Linked DNA regions of Schizosaccharomyces pombe. The protein of the gene in region 1 purifies or fractionates together with the protein of each later gene. This does not show direct contact. Each region holds a gene or a part of one and is shown on either strand. Other genes may lie near its edges.

The links.
Region 2: the proteins of spt6 (region 1) and iws1 purify together in Schizosaccharomyces pombe (affinity purification with mass spectrometry, with the first as the bait; one study listed by BioGRID). This does not show direct contact.

Annotation. Positions count from the first base shown.
Region 1 is NC_003424.3:4,211,970-4,218,531, forward strand, and holds spt6 (transcription elongation factor Spt6), read right to left. Parts: upstream 4,893-6,562; 5' UTR 4,835-4,892; coding exon 737-4,834; 3' UTR 507-736; downstream 1-506. Other genes in the region: mrc1 (claspin), read right to left, coding at 1-374; ATP-dependent RNA helicase Has1, read right to left, coding at 5,449-6,562. UniProt on the Schizosaccharomyces pombe protein: Histone H3-H4 chaperone that plays a role in maintenance of chromatin structure during RNA polymerase II transcription elongation thereby repressing transcription initiation from cryptic promoters.
Region 2 is NC_003423.3:2,378,796-2,382,742, reverse strand, and holds iws1 (transcription elongation factor complex subunit Iws1), read right to left. Parts: upstream 2,127-3,947; 5' UTR 2,081-2,126; coding exon 794-2,080; 3' UTR 501-793; downstream 1-500. Other genes in the region: sec6102 (translocon subunit Sec61-like protein), read right to left, coding at 1-80, 150-217, 269-278; TOM complex subunit Tom5, read left to right, coding at 2,741-2,806, 2,858-2,900, 2,954-2,994; nucleoporin Nup44, read right to left, coding at 3,453-3,947. UniProt on the Schizosaccharomyces pombe protein: Transcription factor involved in RNA polymerase II transcription regulation. May function in both SPT15/TBP post-recruitment and recruitment steps of transcription.

The DNA.
Region 1 (6,562 bases):
CCTCCCTCTTGAGTTTCAATTTGTTCAACCTCCTTTTTTTGGAGAGAAGACTTACCACCTTGTTGATTTAATAATCGCCTAACACGTTCATAAGCAGAGTCAAAATTAGATAAAAAATTCGTATCAGAATGAAGATAGATTTCGCTGCTATACGAGCGATTTTTCTGATTCTCTAAATTGCCAACGGTACTCTCTTTATCCAAAGATGCTTCAGATACAGCATTGCTAGACAATTGCATATCAACACTCGCCAACATTTTCCTCACCCTAGTGCGAGGCGTATCTAAAATATCCTCTTGATCATCATTGATGGAAGCCTCATCAGAAGAATCCATTCTGTGCAACTCATCAGCGTTCTCGTCTAAAGATGCCATAGATTTAAGCACCACAAAGCTCTTATTGAACGAGTAATGGTAGTTGCTTTGCCGCGATACATCTCTTAGTCCTCCTTAGAATTCATCAACAAACGCGACGCGTCTTGACGCGTCGCGACTTTCCAAGCTGCGCTCTATTAACAAGAAAACTACAACATATATACATAAAAATACAGGGTATTAAGAGAATTTATTGTAAAAAAAAAAACATATAGATATCAACTGTATAAAAAGGGATATTTCAATATTAATGTGCCAAAAATTCGGTGAAAATGAAATAAACCAAGGGTGGTTTTCTTTAATTATGTAAAACAAATGTCACGTAGTTGCAGATAAGAGTAAAGCGTTTAAACCATCAATGCTCACATCCGTCTAAAATTTTTAGTTCGAGCAGCATACAGCAATTTGAAACCATTGCAAAGTGCAGTCATATCACCATAAACGTTGCCCTGTAAAAAAAACGCATTTGGAATAACCTTCACCGGCCATGCCGTTACAGGACTATTAACACTAGCTTTGAAACATAAGATAAAGTATCCAGGATGTTGATGATCAAAGCAAAATGCATAACAGGATCGTTTAGGATTTGCCTCAGAATAACTCTCAAGCCATTTTTCGGTTTCCGCTTGTGTACCCTTTCGAAATTTATCATGTATACACATTTCATCTATTTTTTTAGCAATGGCTTTAATATGTAAAACAATCAGCTCATCGAGATCACTGTATTGATAAGTCATTTTTTCAAATCTTCCCTTTACTAGTAATTTCTGACCAATTGTAAACTCATTTTCTTTTTCCAATTCTAACACATCGATATGTTGGTAGGAGCCTTCAGCGACTTTCCATGTAACGACAATATGGTCAGAGCCCTTAGAAGATGGACGTATAACTAGATCGCCAACTTGCATTTTCGACAGATATGCTTCGGCTTGAGAGGCATTTAAATCCTTAAATAACGGGTGCTTAATTACGCGAGCAACTCGTTGTTCAGCCTGTGTTTCGGCCTGCATCCTCTCAGTATCCCGCTTTTCAGCCTCAGTATCCCAATAAGATGTACGATGAGAGCTAGTTTGTCTTTTAGAATTTGCCGATTGTAAAACACTATTTCTAAGTGAAAGATCAACCATAAAATTAGCCTCGTCCAAAGAAATAATTACACCTTCGACTGTTTGACCAACCTGAAGCAATTGGGGAGGGGGTATAAAATCGTCACTCACTTCATCGGCTTTAATATTTCCATCAATTCCACAATCGAGTTTGACGGCAACGAACCTATTAGTAACTCGCCTAACATTCACGGGTACAATTGCATCTGCTTGCAACTCTTCTGGATTTTCTCCGGTTAACATTAGGAAAATTTCCGAAGGTGTCAGCTTATGGAATACATTCCTTTGCTCTCCATAAGGATCCTTCAACTCCAGACGGATCTTTTCAAGAGTGTTTCGCTTCTTCTGGTGAAATTCACGTTCCAGTTGATCAGCATACTCTTCAAGAACAAGCTCATCAAGTTTTCCTGTTTCGTTTTCCTCTAAAAGGTGGTAAACCACCCCTCGATTGGTTTCAAGCTCTTCAATATCTTCCTCGTCAAGTTCTAGTGCATCACTTGCCATTTTTCTAGCTAACTCGTAGTCTTCATTATGTATCCTTGTAGAATCTAAAATATCCATATTGGGATACTCATCATTAGGAATAATGAAGAAAGAAGAGCAATTAATGAAAACTTTTCTCGACATTATTTGTTTTGAAATTAAATCACTACGATTATCAATACGTCCACCGGTAGCAGCGATTTTCTTTAAAACATAATCTGCTTTGCGAGGACCTAATCCCGCTATGTAGGGAAGTATATTAGCTTCATATTTGTTAGTCACTGCTTCGTTAATGTCAATACCCACCAAAGAAGATATATCGACTAACGCAGTTTCCAAGTATTTCCAGAGAACATCAGGGGGAAGCAAATGTTGCCAAGGATCAAATGATAAAGACATCAAATCACGACCCATAGCAGCGTACTCAAACAGAGGGTTTTGTACATACCGAGCCAATGCAACACAGTAGCAAGAAATAGTTGGTAGAGTAGGAAATTCATCAACAGCACGAGTAGAATTCTGATATAGACGAGCGACCTCATCATTCACCATGATTAGATCTACTGGTTCGTGAGACGTTAACGAATCTTGAACGTGTTGACGAATTTTATGAGCAGAAACGCTCATTCCCGAAACACCTATAACATCTGGCTTAACTTTTTCGACAAATTCAGCAAACATTGCTTGATTAGCAAGATCTCGTAGATCGGCAAGTTTTAATGAATCAGTAGGCTCACCCACATCATCAACAAATACGCAGATAATGGCATCAGACGATTCACCTTTTCCATTGGAGACGGCAAGGACTGATGGAATAGTGCCACGATCGAAATTTTTAGTTGAGGGCTCATAGGGAGCTTGATCAAGTCTTGAAAACAATTGATTTCGGCAGCGCATTCCAAGTTCGTCCAGGTATCGAGAACGTAAAGTTTCACGTATGGCATCGGGTGCTAATGCAGAAAACCTTTTAAATACTTCTTTTAATACCAATTCTCTCTGAGCATTCCATTGCATTGCGTTCTCAGAAAAATTATCTGAAACAAAAAGCTCGAGTAAACCTTTAAAAACATCATCAGGATCTTCAAATTCAATCGATAGTTGAATTAAGCCCTCTTCTTCGGCCTTTAACATTTTTAAAAATAGGATTGGCTCTAACTCAAACGAGCCCAAGGGTTTCCGTTTTAAATACTTAAATTCATAATAAGGATGCTCACTACCTATTTTACGGACACCTTTTTGAGTGGCCAAAACAGTAACGACTCCAGCATTGTACAATTTGTCACGGAAAGACTTTCGAAATTGAGGATCATGAATAATTTCCTCTGCTAAAACTCTACGTGCCTTTTGAAGTACCTGCTCAGGTGATGACAGCTCATTTGTCACATAAGTACGACTTAGTTCTTCAGGCGAAAGGGTGTTGTCTTCCACAAAACGGAGACGAGCACCCTGTGCTACGTTGAACGAAAAGTCTTTAGCACTCATACCAAATTCTTTGACGAGATTGTAAAGTGATGATTTTCTAAATTTTTCAAAAAAAGAATACTTCGAACCTTGTGGACGACGAAGACCAGTACCCATCAGTAAGGCACGATCACGGATTTGTTCAGAATAAGTGAAATGTATGTAATCATTAAGGTCATCAATTGCATCAAGAGAGGAAGCAGCTTCACAGAAGGGAACTACTAAATCATCATTAATTCCCAAATCAGAGTACAATTTTAGGATATCTTGCTTCTTAGAATGAAGTGACCAAAACTTGGTGCAAAGGAAAAAAATATTCCACAAATCATTTTGACTTAATAAAGGAGTAATTGTGTTCCTCTCACGATTGTTATGCACTATATAATCACGACGGTGCTGCCATATGAAGGGTACTTCAAGACTATCACGAATAAAGAAGTGAACTACATAGCGAACAGCAGTTTGAAACGGCTCATATAGTTCAGCATCAATATCACGCCTATTTTTTAAGAGATAATCGATAATCCAAGCAACTTGTTCCCTAAATTCATCTTCAGAGCAATCAATGTTCCTCTTCATATAAAGTTGCATACGTTCAGGTTCATCCGTGATTCTTATGATCTCATCCTCCTCGGTAAGCATTTTATCTTTTAGTTCACTGGGCTCAAAAATGGTCTTCAAACTGACAGACTCTTCTAACTCGTCTTCAGCATCTTCATCTTCAAGGGCAAATGCGTAATCTGTTCCATCGCCAAAGACTTCGTATATTTGTATATAATCATCATCCGATATTCCTAAAGCCTCAGGTCGTACTGATTCTATGGGCGGACCAGTCTCATATTTTTCTTCTTGACGCTCTTCGTCTTCAAATTCGTCTTGTTCAATGAAATCTGCAAATTCGTCGATAACGCCAGCGCGGTGGCCTTGCGTGCGATTAGGAGCTTCATCATCGACTTCGTTTTCTTCTTCTTCTTCTTCCTCAGAAAATATGTTTTCAAGAGTCTCTTCTTGATCTCTTCCACGTTTTAAACGTCTCAACTTAGAAAAACGAGAGCCTTGGCCTGTATTCTCCATGACAAGTTCCAGATCTTCCTCATCAAGCATATCTTGATCAGCAGTACTTTCGGCATGCTTCTTACGTTTCTTTTTGCGCCGAATTTCCTGAGGAACTTCGTCTTCTTCATCTTCGACGATGAAACCCTCTCTAACTTGTCGCTCAGCTTCTTCATCAGTTGCAGATTCTTCAGAAGAGTCATTCTCATCATTGTCATTATCTAAAGGAATTCCATCCTTTTCCTCTTCATTGTTGTTGTCATCCACATTTGTGCCTTCTCCATTTTCAGCTGGATAACCATCCTCATTTTTATCACCATTGGTGGTTGGTGACCCGACAACTTCGTTTTCACTCATTCCTATTTCTATAGTGGACGAAGGAACGGCTTCTCGAAGGTTTGCGGTCAATTGTGGCAGAGAAATACAATACTTGAAGATGCGCTTGCTTTAGATGGTGATATTTTAATAAAAGTTAATGCAGCATCATAAAACATTTAAGGAGCACATTAAAATTCACTAGTATGTTATAAGACAACGCAACGTGCTTTGTAGTTCTAACAAATATTCAATCGTACATATAAGCATAAAAATAAAGTGCTTTGCAAGAGCTAATATGCAATGCTGCTAATCTGAATTGTTGTTACAAAATACCACAGTCCTTGATATACAAGACAGACGTTGTTGTTACGATCACGACCATTCGTTGCAATGATTAGTTTTGGCTTTATTTATAGCCGATATCAAACTCCCTTTGAATAACTTACACGGGTATTTACAATAAAAATTATGAAATCCATTATTTCAAACACGTAAACCTTTTGAGCGAAAACAACCCTATTTACCAATATTAAAAGGATGAAAGGAAAAAAAAATTCCCTTCAACCATTCAAAATCCAAGTCATTTGTAAAAGCCAGAAAAACCGAATTAAATAAACCTTTTAAATGAAATCAACTTCTAATATGAACGAAGTTTAGCGGCTCCATCCACGCTCTTTGTCTTGAGAAATAGCTGATGATCTTTGTTTTGAATAAACATCAACGTGATTCTTCTTATTATAACCCGCACGTCGTTCTTTTTTGTCTGTTCGTCCACTAGCACCAATAGTGATATTGACGTTTGGAGGATGAGCAAAACCGAATGATTTAGCAACTTTTGCGAGATCCAATTTATTAATATCAAAGATAGATTTTAAAGAATATGAGGCATAGGCCTGCAAGTAGGAACGGTATCCATCCTTTGCAGACTGCTGCAAATAATAATTTTTGGAAACAAGCTTTTCGAGCTGAGATTGAACATTAGCAACTTTATTGGCAGGAAATTCAAACTCATTCAAAGAAACCTTGGCAGTTTTCAAATAACGAAGGAAACCGAGCTCAGAAGGAGCGAGGAACATAAGGGATTTACCAGTTCCCTTTGTTCCTCTAGCTGTACGACCTACACGATGAATATAATCTCGGGGGTCATCAGGAGGATCGTACTGCACGATCCAGTCAACGGCTGGAATATCTAACCCGCGTGCAGCAACATTGGTGCAAAGTAGTATTCCCTTTTCGGCATTGCAGAATTCAAAAAAGGTGTTTGTACGACGCTGTTGCTTTTGCTTGCCATGAAGATCAAGTACTGGTAAATCTATATAGTTCAGTAATTCTGCCATATATTTGACAGAAGCACAAGATGACATGAAAACAATAACTTTTTTCTTCAAATTGCGTTTTAAGAAGGAAAATAAAAGAAGAAACCGTTTGTCAGAATCAACTACAACATAACCTTGCTCCAATCCTTCAACGGTAGAGGTAGGCTTACCAGAATCAACGTTAACATACAAGGGTCCGGGCTTAAGAGAGATACGAGCAAGATCTTCAACTTTAGTTGTCTGTGTAGCAGAAAACAGGAGGGTTTGTCGATTTTCCGAGGGAAGGATTTTCATGATTTGTCTCATTTCGTCCTCAAAACCAATCTCCAAAATTCTGTCGGCTTCGTCAATCACTAAGGATCGTAAATTGCGGAATACAAATCCTTTGGTATTTTGCAAGTGATCCAGTAAACGACCAGGAGTAGCAACTAATAGGTTAACACCTTTCACC
Region 2 (3,947 bases), on another chromosome or scaffold:
CCGTAAACTGGAATGATGGACAAAATTTGGTATACAACTACACATCCAGCCATCCAGCCTAATTTTTCGACCAACTCAAGCTACGATATATCAGTATTGATGAACGTTCAAAGGACTGCCATAGCCTTTTTCAAAATGGAAATACGTACATGAGTTTTGGGTCCTTCGACCTCAGGTAGCAACGAGCTGAGCGGCTTGATGAAATTAATGAAACGAGCTAAATAAGGACATTAGATGGCTTTATTCTATGATACTTCAGATAACTTACCTCCGCCCATGGTTAGGTTTGTCGTGAGTTTTATCTGTCCTGTTCTCGTTTGGTATGGCGAGGTGGATATCTAGTTCAGTGATTTTGCTTTACGAATAATAACGTAGTACGCTTGTAAATTGAGTAAATTGTACTACTGTACAAAACTACTCAAGAACAAACAAATAAACGTTGCATTCATGAAAAGCGTTTATCTCTAATACAAAATTATCAAAAAAAGTAGAATGTTAAAGTAGAGATTGAAATTAATTGAAATAGTTAAAATGAAGGAGTGAGGATAAAAATTAGAGTTTTATTTATGGAGAATTATATACAATCAAAAATAATAAGGATCCCTTTTAAGTGAATTCTAATAATGAATCTCATAAGTCATAAGTAGAAGGTACGGAAACAAGCGTTCATCATACAAACAGTGAAAAAATAAAATTGTAACATTAACCCAATGAATAATTCGACCCTAATGAAAGAGCATTGAAAAATTTTCAATGGACTCATTATATATTATTGTGATGCCTGTTTTAATGATTAAAGTCCACGACCTTCAATACTAACACCACTCTTTTTAGATGATTTACTACGAATCGCCTTCATCTTGGCCTTTAATTTTCGCACTTGTTCGGTATCAGCCGGCTTCATTCGTCCCGCAATAGTCATGGCCGTAGGATTGAGACGAACTCTGGGAGCAACCTGGTATCTTGAATCAATGGATCTGGGAATAACAGTACGACCTGTACGGCTAGCTTGGGCATCATCATTACTTTCAGCAGCAGCAAGGTCTCGACGACGGCGAGTTTGAAACACTTCAGGGTTAAAGGAGGCTACACCAACAGCACGATCACGATAATTAGCACTTCTCTTTATAATGGGACGACTCCATTCGCTAACAAGGTTGTCAGCTATTCTCTTAATAAATGGCTCGGGCTTTTTCGAGATAGTATAAAACAAAACAATACGACCTATTTTACTTTCACGAAGATGTTCTGTCTGGATGGGCAATTTTGTTAAAATGTCCATAAGAGATCGTTGGATATTCAACGCTGGTAACGAACGATCTGGTAAAGGTTCAAGCCACATTCGAACGGAGTCAAGGACGTTATTATCCAGTATAGTATCGTAAAGATGGGTCTTTCTAAGTACAGCATCAACTAGTGGAAGCATCTTTAACTTCTCAGTAGCCGGTAGTTGTTCCGAATTCAATTCAGCATCACGAAGTGCAGCCAAGCGCATTTGTTCGCGTAGACGAAGGACTTCATCATCAGCCATCTGTTCAAGATTGTCTTCATTGGATCGCTTCTTTGTTCGAGTTGGCTTAAGAACAGCGTCCATTTGAAGATCCAACTCTTTTTTTGCGGCTAGCGTGGGATCCAATTGCTTTTGTTCAGTCAAAACTTCTTCTTCATTCTCCCCGAGCTCATTTAATTCATCATTGAGAGCATCAACAGTCGATGAACGCTTACCACGACGTCTACGTGGCTTTTGCTCTTTCCTAACCTTCCTTGGAACTTCAAGGTTTTCTTCAATCGTATTTGGCTCTTGCTTCTTCTTAAACGTAGGTAGATTATAAATAGTAGGTTCCTCAGCTTCACGTCCGATTTTGGATTCGTCAAAGTTTTCAAATTGATTTTCATCCAAATCCGATAATTCATCTTCAGAGAAATCAAGGGCTTCTTCCTTATTATCTAAATCTTCATCCACATGAGTTGTAACATCAGCAACGTCTACTTTCGTATCAATGGTTTGATCATTCTCGGAAGTTTTTGCCTCAGATTCAACTTGCATATTTTCAAGCTCAGCCTTTTCTTCTTCTGACATCTTTGGAGAATCAGAAATTTGACAACTTAATTAGAATTGGGAGTCTGAAAAAATTTCAACGTTTACTGCCGCCAATATGTAGAAGTAATGAAATAGAACTAGCGTAGCCTCCACCATTGTTCAAAAACTGTAGATTTCGGTAATGCATGTATACTGTCAGCAATACTACACTACGCTATGATACACTACTTGCGTATCACTATATGTCACATGTTCTAATTATATATCGTACCATGTATGATACGATATGGAGATTGATCTTAATGATAATCTATTAAGATCTATATTATCTGAATACTATAAATAGAGCTACTGCTGAACCTCGTTCCTCAGTTCAGTTATGAGCTATATTAGTGATAGGTAACATCATAACCTAGTTAATACAATACCTATATCCAGTTGCTACTTATACAACCTGTGTATTGTAATATAATAGATCACAAGGAAAACTTACCGCAGCTCTACGTATCCTTAAATCAGATACCAAACTGCGTAGCTTACAATATAGTGACAAACAACATGATATAATTAACGATGTCTAACGATGCGAGGTGTACCATTCAAGCTATTCTCTGTGTCGGTGAATGTTCCAACTTATTCCAGCTTCTGCCAAACACACAAGCTCTTTCTCGAATAACCGTTAATAAACGTACTATAAAGATGTTTTCTGGTGCAGGACGCCCTAGTAAAGAGCAAATCAAGCAGTATGATAATTTGGCTGTCGGCGTATGTAATTATCTCTCGTATCTATAGCATATTAACGAAATGGATAATTAGGAAATGAAAAAGGGTGCCTCAGTTGCCGCTGTCTTGTTGTTAAGTAAGCTTTTTTAATTGTAATGGTTTCACTTGGTTTTCTAACTTTTATATAAGCTCCTTTTGTTATTTCTTTTTTTCAAAAGATGCGAGCATAAAAACATTTATTCCAAGTGTTGGCTTTTGTGCTATAAAAATGGATGGTTATTGTACGTCGAATACAATTTTATGATCGACTGTATGTAAATAATCAGACAATTTATTTTTACCGTTCTTGATCGAGTCGTAAATTTTACATGAGTGGGTTGAATTATTTGATTTTGAATGTAAAGTCACTAAAAAATGGTTATTATAGAAATCGTTCATGGATTGAACTGGTAGCTAAATGTGTATAGAGAGTTCATAGATTTCCTGTGCGATGCTGCGCCGTTATATGTAATTTTAAGTCAGTAATATCTTTTGGACCACTTGTCAATCAATTGACTCCCAATTAGATGAATTTCTTAAAAAAAATTCGGTTACCAGAAAAATAAAAAAAGGAACCTAACTATGATTTTCATGTTGGTCGTTTCTAATTTAATTAAATACAGAAAATAACGTGAAGTAGGAATTACCGCTATTTTTGTGATTGAGGAACGTGCTCAGTTAATTGCTTGTTCAACGTCGCTAAATCTTCTTGCATCAGTTTTACCACATATGAAAGACCAACTTGATGATCCCTTAAGACGTCCGTAATGACTTCTAGTTGATCAGAATTTTTTCGCCAATCCACTACTCCCTTAGCCAAATTACTTCGCTGATCTTCAGATATCTTTTCTCCTTCAAAAATAAGAGTAATTCTTGCCCATATTTCGTTGAGCCGACCAAAAATTTCAGGATTATTTAGCGATTTTGTTAAATCATCTAATTTTTTACGTAGCTCTTCTTCATTAGGTTTTAGTGCATAACCACGATGTCGTAAAACATGTACTTTAATTGCAAGTCGTAAAATTCTTTCAGACAGACGGACGTGACGATTTTTCGCCTCGGCAAGTTTGATGCTAAAATCAAGGTCGTGTTTGTTACTTAATCTTCCTAAAGTTTCAACAATTTCACGCATCCGAATACGGTA